Linked DNA regions of Oryza sativa Japonica Group. The main gene of each other region encodes a partner of the protein of the gene in region 2 in a complex. Links are inferred from orthologs where the notes say so. Each region holds a gene or a part of one and is shown on either strand. Other genes may lie near its edges.

Region 1 (4,297 bases), about 3.0 Mb from region 2:
CTTTGTAATTTGTACCAGGAGTCTAGGTGACAGTATTGTACTGTATAGTTTTATAGTTTACAGAGGTGATTGTTCTGTTTTTGTCAGTAACTCTTGTTAAGCAAAGTGAATGTTTGCATCGGATTCCTTTCTTTATAGTTCGATATGGGGAACAATTAATAATTGTTGATTTCATAGGCTGACATGACGCGTGTTCCATTTCGTACTAGTACCTTTGATCAGAAATTGCATTTTGCATTCCTTTTGGAGCACTCAAAACCAGTGGCAGATTGTTCATGATCTCTCTTATGCGGACAGTCTACTATTAAAGCTCTTGTTATGACAAACTTAAATATATCATTTTCATATACCCAAAACCTATAGTTCAAGTTATTTTTATAGATGGAAACACCCAAAACATATACTTTAATTTATTTTATAGCCAAACTTAACTTATGCTGACTGGACGCATTCTCAAGCGACTTGTTTTTGAGACCGGGGGAAGCATTGCCATCCCATTCTCATGGGAATTTGGAGCACAACTATACCCCCTTTGCCACCCAAGATAAAAAAAGGGGGGCTAACCAAAGAAAAGAGTATCTGAAAGCAGTTCCACAAGATGAGATTGTTCTACCAAAATGACCCTATAATGCATGTATGGTATGTCTTGTATCGTTCTCCATCCAACAAATTCAATTACGTCACTGAAAAATAATCAGAGGAGTTATAAGATGACAAATGGGTTGACCCCCCTGCCTTCATTTTGCATCTATGGCGTGAAATGACATTACACTACGCCTCAAAAGTTTACAATCGACTTTACAACCTCCTTAACAGGATGGCCACGCAGATAATTAAGCTAGCATTCCCTCCTGTTCTATCTAGAAATTTGATGAACTGTATGTTTTGTTAGAGTACAGTACAAAGGTGAAAGTGTACAGCTAAAAACATGAGCATACCAAAATATATGACATAGTTGATACCTGACCCCCTCCCAACTTGAGATGAGCCAGTAAGAGGTTTCTCTCCTTCCTCTTCAAGTGATACATTTATTACAGATACAAGCATCATAACCACACTGGTCTATTTAGACTATTTTCCTGGCAAATAAAGTTAGCAAAATTAATAATATTCTCCCCTGAACCAGGTACTAATACAGAGAAAGGACATTAAAGAGAACAATGACCAGTATAGAATACAGTTTTCTAACGGGGAACAGGTTATCATTGGATGAAAAGCTTACCACAGTGTACACTCACCAAGAGTTGAGAATTAAGGCACTGTCTCAATACATAAGCGCTGAAATGCAGGAGATTAGCACGGAGGTGCAATAGCTTCAGGATTAACACAAGATGGTCTCTTTGCATTGTAGTAGAAATGGGCAATCATTTGAACTAGTTCGTCGGCAGTTCTTAGTTCTGTAAACAAGCAAATGAGGCAATCAGGTGTTGTCAGAGTGGCAATTTTGACCATTGAAAAAGGTGGGCCTAACATGAAAGTGCATATTAGCAATCAAGGAATTTAATAATTCAAAGTTCCATTCAATTTGTTAACTATGTGAACAGGATTTACCATAAAAATGGAACTAACTACTCACCTTTTTCCCTGTATAATATCTTGTTTCCCCTGAGGAATAATAATTGTGGGCATTCTTTTACTTGAAGTGCAAATGCCAGGTCTCTCTCAATATTCATATCAACCTTCACTGTCTGGAACTCAATTAAATTTAGCATATGACCAACCACCTCAATAACCTTACCGTAATACATCAAGTATTAACTATAAATATGATTCACACTGACCCGAGGAGGTAGCCGATCTTTACTATTCCAGTAAACTTTAGCCGCCTTTTCCAATTCTTGAAGAAACTTCCAATTGTCAGCTGCCCTATAAACAAAGGCAAAACATTACGCGTACATATCATCCTGTCATGGAAGTAGAACACCTAATTTTCTGAGGCAACTCAAAACGATAGTACATTTTTACATTTTTATGCATTACTTCAGGGGTAGTTCTGAACTTTTGATTCAATGGATTCAAAATTATCAGATATGACAATATAAAGTGAGAAGCTTGAAGTTTATGAAGTTTATCACTTTGGTCCTAACATATAGGTACTATGGGTTCACATGAATAGAGTCTGGGTAGAATAGTGATTTATACCTGTTGTAGCGCTCGAAGACAAGAACGATGAGGGGGCTAGGGTGGAAGGCGAAGCTCTCCCACTCCAAGCAGTTGATCTCTTTGACCCATCCCTCCTCGACCTCCCTCTCCCAATCGATCTCCACACCATCCACCGTCACATTCTTGATGGAATGCTTGTCAAAGTACTCCGACGCCCGAATCCCCCACCCGATGTCGGCGTCCAGAGGCCAGGAGGGATCCTCCTCCTCAACCACAGCCTTCAGCTCCCCCTCTTCCTCACCAGTCCCCTCTTTTCCCTCCTCGTCGGAGAGCTCCTCCTTTCGCTTCAAGATGTCGCCCTTGCCTTCGAGGACTTCGGGGTCGCGCTCCCGGATGGAAGCGAAGACCTGCTCGAGGCGGCCACGCACGAAGTCCTCCACCGCCGCCGCCTCGCTCCGGCGCCCGCGGCGCGGCTTGCGGGGCTTGGTTGTGGGGAAATCGGGGGTGTCGTCGCCTAGGTTCTCGTGGCTGGTACGGGGCTCGGGCTTGGGAGGCCGTGGTGGTGGCGGCGGCGGGGCGGAGGAGGCGAGGAGGCGGCTGGGGTGGTGGCCATGGCGGCGGCCGTGGATGGGGTTTAAGCCGGTGGTGGGAGGCGAGGGTTTTAGGGGGAGGAGAGTGGGAAGACGAAGCATCACGGCGACGAAGTTCACCGGCCTTCGCGCGGCGCTCGTCTTTCACCGTTCTTTCCTGCCCTATCCGAATTGGTGCATCACTGCATCTACCGAGCTACGGGCTACTAGTCGGCCCACTACATTGGTCTTATTACAAATTTGGGCACAAATCCGTGTGATATGTGCTATCGGGCCGGGATTCCTCTTCTCCTGGTGGTGTTGGTATCCGGCCCAATGCATGTGCTCCCAGTCGGGAACTTGAGACCAAGCCCAACTACCTGACGTCAGCGGTTGACGTAATGACGGTGCTAGCCAGGCGCTGTCGACGTCATTTTCCTCCGTGCGGAGGAGGCGCTGTCGATGAACACGCGCGTGGCGTGTCAGGGCAGCGCACCTGGGCTCGTCCAGGCGCGCGGCGGCGATCGATCGATCCGCGGGCGTCAGGCGCGCGTCGCCCGGCCGGCACTGGGTCCGTCAAACTGGAGTATATACTAGTACTAGCTCTGATCCACCGGGCTCCCGCACCGTGCTGCGCTCTTGTCTTTGCGCTCTTGCTTGTCCCACTTAACGCGATCGGTGCAGGTAGCGCAGCCGCATCCCCTGTCTGTCCCTCCACCGGCGAAGAACGGCCGGTGCGTTAGACGATGGAAGCTTGATTAAAACGGATGGCTAATCGCGATCGATTCGGCGGCGAATTTAAGGCGCTCACCAGTACGTAGAGGACGAATACGGGTGTTTGCGTACTAGTATTCCCCTATTCAAAAAATTAGAATTTCAAAGGCAAAGGAAATTCGTGGAGGATGGAACAGGGAGCATCTGCCGTACCAAACAGCTATAGATGTGATACTACTGAAAATCTGAACATAAGTATTAATACATATTACATCCCGTAGTAGATCCTATAATAAATTCGTTTATTTTGAGATGCAGGGAATAGTATGTAACTATCTATTAGCCATCCTCTGCACTACAGTGAATGTAAAACAATAACAGAAAAAAACTAAGAGATCAACACACTATAGCTACGGTGTTTTCTCAATATTCACTGCATTAAACAAACTGTGGTGGGCACAGCTATAGTGCTTCTCCGCAGTACTGTCGACGATCCATGTCCCTGGAGGATTACGCCTACCGTCAGTACAGCAGCCGACCGACGATCACTTACCGATCACACGTATCACTGTGTCAGCTATTGATGATGGCGCTGGATACAATGGATTATGAAATATATTAATCATCCGAACATATGCTCAATTGCAATTACTTGTATTTTTTGGCAGTTTAATTTTCTGCTCAAACGTGGAGTGTATATGAATTATTAATTAGCATTAATTTGTACTCATTCCATCCAAAAAAAACTCAACCTAGAAAGGGTCAGGGAGTAGAACTCTAGCTTCTTTCCGTAGTTTATGTAGATAGTACTAGAAGGTTAGAATTAGAAAAGATCGAGATGAGAAAGTGACATCTGAACTGTTGAATCTGTATTGTAAGCAGAAAAAGTCTGGAAGTAACTGACAAAGAAG
Region 2 (4,497 bases):
GATCATAATATGTGCTCAATTTCCAGGATTTATCATACAATATATTTTAACAGAATAAATACGATTAAAGAAAGAAGCTATTGTAGGATGGACCATGTATAAATTCAGCAAAAGCGGCTTGTAGATGTCAATAATATAAAATGATCAGGATTGAGAAAAGAAGATATACTCTGTTTGATCTGGTCTTCCCGCATCCTCATTGCCAAAGGATCTCGTTGTATGCGAACATCAGTGCCCATCATGATACGGAATTCCCCAGCAGTTTGGTGTTGAAACATTGTTATAAGTTGAGTATTCTCATCTTCGCCAGTCTCCTCAAAGTGTTTCTGTACAGCTTCTCGTGAAGTGTCTTTGTTTTTATACGCTTCAACCCATTCCGAATAGTATGCTATTGGCCCTATTTCTTCTAGTCTCCTTTGTTCTGCTTCTAACCTGTGTTTTCATTGTATATCCAATATAAGAATGGACGGAAGGCAAGATAGAACTATATACCTTAAGAATACTGTGAAAATATCATGTTGAAAGGACGTTGTGTCAATATTTTTTTCTGCTGTCATAACAAGTAACATTGAAGTACAAACCAGCAGGTAGGCAACTAGACATAATAACATCCATCAAATATTTGTTATAAATCAACGAGGGGATACCAAAGGTCAGTTAAAGAGTCTACATAAGCTTAAAGAGTATCATTGCACATATGGTGAAGATATTAAAATTAAAAGCACGGTTTTCACATATGGTGAAGACCCACGAAAAGCAAAATCACTAAATTTTGAGAAAATAATTTCTAGTATTCAGCCAACCTTTCCTCTTTGAATAAATGTCTTCTTGCCTTGGCAAGAGCAGCTTCTGTTCTGGTAGGGTGGTCCCCAAATATTTTGATCTGCCCAGTTTCTGCCATTGCTTTTGCAAAGACCTACAATAATGAAATGAGTGTTACAATTTAAATTATAACTGACAAGACACAGAGCTGTAAGTTAGAAGAAACACTAATCTGAATAATGAAAAAGGTTAAAAACATCAACCAACAATATAGATTAAATTGATAAGCCATGTATAGGAAATGCCACATCTGCAAGCTGTGCACGTGTATCTACCAGGTGGTGGATTTAGTATGGGGGAATAGGCGTTCAACTGAGCCACACAGCTTTTAGGATTCGTGGAATAGAGATGACCCCAGAAGATCCTTATAAATGTTACCAGTCTAGGCTAATGAAGAACCTAATTCTGTCTGAACCCAAGATATATGGTTAAGTATTTCATCTCATTTTGAACTCCCAGAATAAAAATACCAGCTCATCACTGTGTACACTACTCTGCTTGCATCTTTTATACACTAGAAGATGCATACGATGATCATGACGACATTGTGTGGCTTCTGGAAATATTAGCACTACAAACACTATACTTTGGTTGGATATTTTGGCACACACAAAACTACATGTACTCCCTCCGTCCCAAAAATATAAGAACCTAGTACCGAATGGGATGTGTCCAACCAAAGTATATAGTATCCTGCGTCCCATCCAATACTAGGTTCTTATATTTTGGGACAGAGGGAGTACTACCTTAGTGTTTGTGCCTTGTGCTATCAAAATAGGGTATACGAAGACTAGCATACAAACAATTGAAACCCTCAAAATTGTGGTGTGGACATGCAGCAGGAGGAGTGGAGAATAAGAACCATACTGTGTACATCATATTCGCTACTAGGTTATGTTAACAAGTGACAATAGGCAGAAAAACTTAAGTAAAAAAGACTTATAAGTCATTTATTAAGTTCAAACCAATCAAGAACTAACCGTGTCAACATCTGGACGCCTCCTCTGCCATCTTGACCACATTTCATTTTCCTCAGACTTCCTCCTCCAGTTCCACCACAGCTCTTCACTAGATTTTGGTTCCCCTACAGACATTGCCTTCTGCGGGTCAACGAACGGGTGTGGCCGTCCCATCATCTTGTCCATCTCATATTCACTCAAATTTTCTTCCTTGGGCATCTCATAAACGACGTACTCATCCAATGAATCCTTTGTCTCCTCCAGTGTCTCATCTGATGAGGCCTCAATGGCCACAACCGACTCTCCCTCATCTCCACTGGTCTCCGTGCCTCTCCCTGCCGTCGCTGATGCTACCTGCTCCTTGTACCCTTTCCTTCTACTCCCGGGCTTCTTACCAAACGACGGTGTCCCAGCTGATTCCCCGACCGGTGCAGGTGCACGGGCAGCGCGTACGCGGGATGCAGTGCCCTCCGGCCAGTACTCCTGCCCAGGTATGCTTGCCCGAGCACCCGACGCCGGCTCGAGCTGGCCCGACGTGGAGTCGAAGTAACTGGAGTACGGTGGCGCCTCGATCTTAGATGGATCAAAATGGAGCGAGTCGTCCTTGACGCTCCTGATCCTGCCTCTTCGCGTTCTGCTCGACACACCAGAAAACAGCACCCTTCTCCGGTGAGGCAATCCAGCAAACACCTTCTGCGCACGCACCAAACACAAATCAAAATAAAAAAATACTCAGCACCCATGACAACTGGGAGCACGGGAACGCGGTAAAATTTCAGCAATTTTCTCGGGCATTCCGATGGGGGAGGAGTTACCAAGGACTGGAGGGGGCGAGGAACAGTCTGGGCGGTGGCCTGCGGCGCCATGCCTGCGGAGTATTGGAGGGAGGTGAGTTCGCTTGAGCCGTGCGAATTGGCGGTTGGAAATGAGGGGCGAGAGGTCACCTGGGAGGAGCCAAGTGCGGGAGCACGACGCCATGGCTCCGCCTCCGATGCTGCGGTTGGAACCCGAGGTGGACGAGAGAGAGCTAGGGGAGGGAAGCGGATGGGTTGAGCTCCATGGACGCGCACCGAAGTTCAGGTAGCCGGTTTGGTCTTCGGAAGGGGACAGGATAACAAGGAGAGGTTTTCGAAGAGGAACACGGGGTTTATCCGGTGGACTTCAAATTCGAATTTTTTTTATTTATAATTTTTTTTATTAAAAGTTTTACAAAAATAATTTTCCATTTTGAAAATTGACGGAAATAGTCGCCTACAGCCCTCTGGGAGGGCGATTTTTAAAAATCGCCCTCCCAGAGGGCGGCGAAAATGACGTGGCAGACGGCCGTTCGCTCTCGGGCGACGGCCGTCAACGAAATTTGCAGGCGGCCCCCTTGCCGCCCTCCGCGAGGGCGATTTTCTACTGTGCGGGGGGCCGCCTGCAAATGGGCGGCGGGGGGGGCATGGAATTTTTTCAGGCGGCCCCCTTGCCGCCCTCCGCGAGGGCGATTTTCTACTGTGCGGGGGGCCGCCTGCAAATGGGCGGCGAGGGGGGGCATGGAATTTTGCAGGCGGCCCCCTTGCCGCCCTCCGCTAGGGCGATTTTGCACTGTGCGGGGGGGCCGCCTGCAAATGGGCGGCGAGGGGGCATGGAATTTTGCAGGCGGCCCCCTTGCCGCCCTGGGGGAGGGCGATTTTTGCCTCCCCCCTATAAAGCCCAGCCCCTCCCCTGTGAAATTTCATTATATTCACTAAAAATCCAAAAAAACGAAAGAGAGAGAGAGGGGAGGGCAGCAGAAGGGAAGCGGCGAAGCCCTGCTGGTTCGCTCACTTCATCACAGGTATGCTCCCATACATCTTTTGCATTTGTACTAATATATTACGTTTGAGTACATATGTTGCGTTTTAGTTTTAGTTCCATATATTTTAGCAGATCTGTAGCACACAGCACATATGTGTAGATCCAGAGCATAGAATATAATAGTATGAATTGAGACATAGACAGTAGTGTTAATTGTAAGATGTAGTTTAGTTTGATCTGGAGAATGTAACCTACTTTTAGAAATTTAGAGAACAATATTGTAGAGAATGTAACTTAGGGCGTAGTACAGAAATGCGAGGTTAACGCAGTTATTGTTTTCATCAGGCACAATGTCAAGTAAGGTCACATTTCAGATAGTTCACGGTGAAGGAAATATTAGATTTGGTCCAGATGGTGTTGATCTGTCAGATTTTGTAATGACATCTAAGGGCATCGATAGGCCTGCGGAGAGAACATTTGAGTCAATTTATAGTTGGTTGTTGAGAGGATTTAGAATAGACCAAGAAGTCTACACAATGTCAGTATCTGTTGTAGTGAGTCGTGCAATAGAAGGTTATTTTTGGGAACTAATGCCGATGGACAGCACTGCTGCTTGGAGACGGTATGTGGAAATGGCTTTTGAACGGTCATGGCCCCTCGTTATATTTGTGTCGGTACAAGAGAAAGATACAAATGTTTCAATGCAAACCGAAGATGTGGAGGGTCCTAGCAATGCAGGGGATGTTGTTGGACCATCGATGCAAAATGAGGAAAATCAACCAAGGGAGGAGCAGGCCATGGGCATGGCGGATGAGGGGGAGAGAGTCGGTATAATTGTTGATGAAATGGAGAGGGAAGATTCGGATAATGAGCAAGCGGAGGACGACGCATCATCCGATGAGGAAGGTGATGTAATGGCCACTGATTGGGCAAATGA

Evidence for each region.
Region 1: protein PLASTID TRANSCRIPTIONALLY ACTIVE 12, chloroplastic-like (region 2) and thioredoxin-like fold domain-containing protein MRL7 homolog, chloroplastic share a complex: the UniProt entries of both Arabidopsis thaliana proteins name them as parts of the transcriptionally active chromosome (TAC) complex. The link is inferred for Oryza sativa Japonica Group from reciprocal best matches to the Arabidopsis thaliana genes PTAC12 and MRL7.

Annotation. Positions count from the first base shown.
Region 1 is NC_089035.1:36,100,813-36,105,109, reverse strand, and holds thioredoxin-like fold domain-containing protein MRL7 homolog, chloroplastic, read right to left. Parts: upstream 2,878-4,297; 5' UTR 2,796-2,877; coding exon 2,143-2,795; intron 1,867-2,142; coding exon 1,782-1,866; intron 1,689-1,781; coding exon 1,577-1,688; intron 1,398-1,576; coding exon 1,294-1,397; 3' UTR 1,223-1,293; intron 1,080-1,222; 3' UTR 709-1,079; downstream 1-708. UniProt on the Arabidopsis thaliana protein: Plays an essential role in early steps of chloroplast development. Involved in the regulation of plastid gene expression. May positively regulate plastid-encoded RNA polymerase (PEP) activity through binding to FSD3 and CITRX/TRXZ.
Region 2 is NC_089035.1:33,074,291-33,078,787, reverse strand, and holds the start of protein PLASTID TRANSCRIPTIONALLY ACTIVE 12, chloroplastic-like, read right to left. Parts: upstream 2,898-4,497; 5' UTR 2,760-2,897; coding exon 2,726-2,759; intron 2,650-2,725; coding exon 2,597-2,649; intron 2,475-2,596; coding exon 1,803-2,474; intron 917-1,802; coding exon 804-916; intron 433-803; coding exon 170-432; intron 1-169. UniProt on the Arabidopsis thaliana protein: Involved in plastid gene expression. Acidic transcriptional coactivator necessary for the transactivation of many PIFs target genes (class B genes), particularly during the regulation of hypocotyl growth.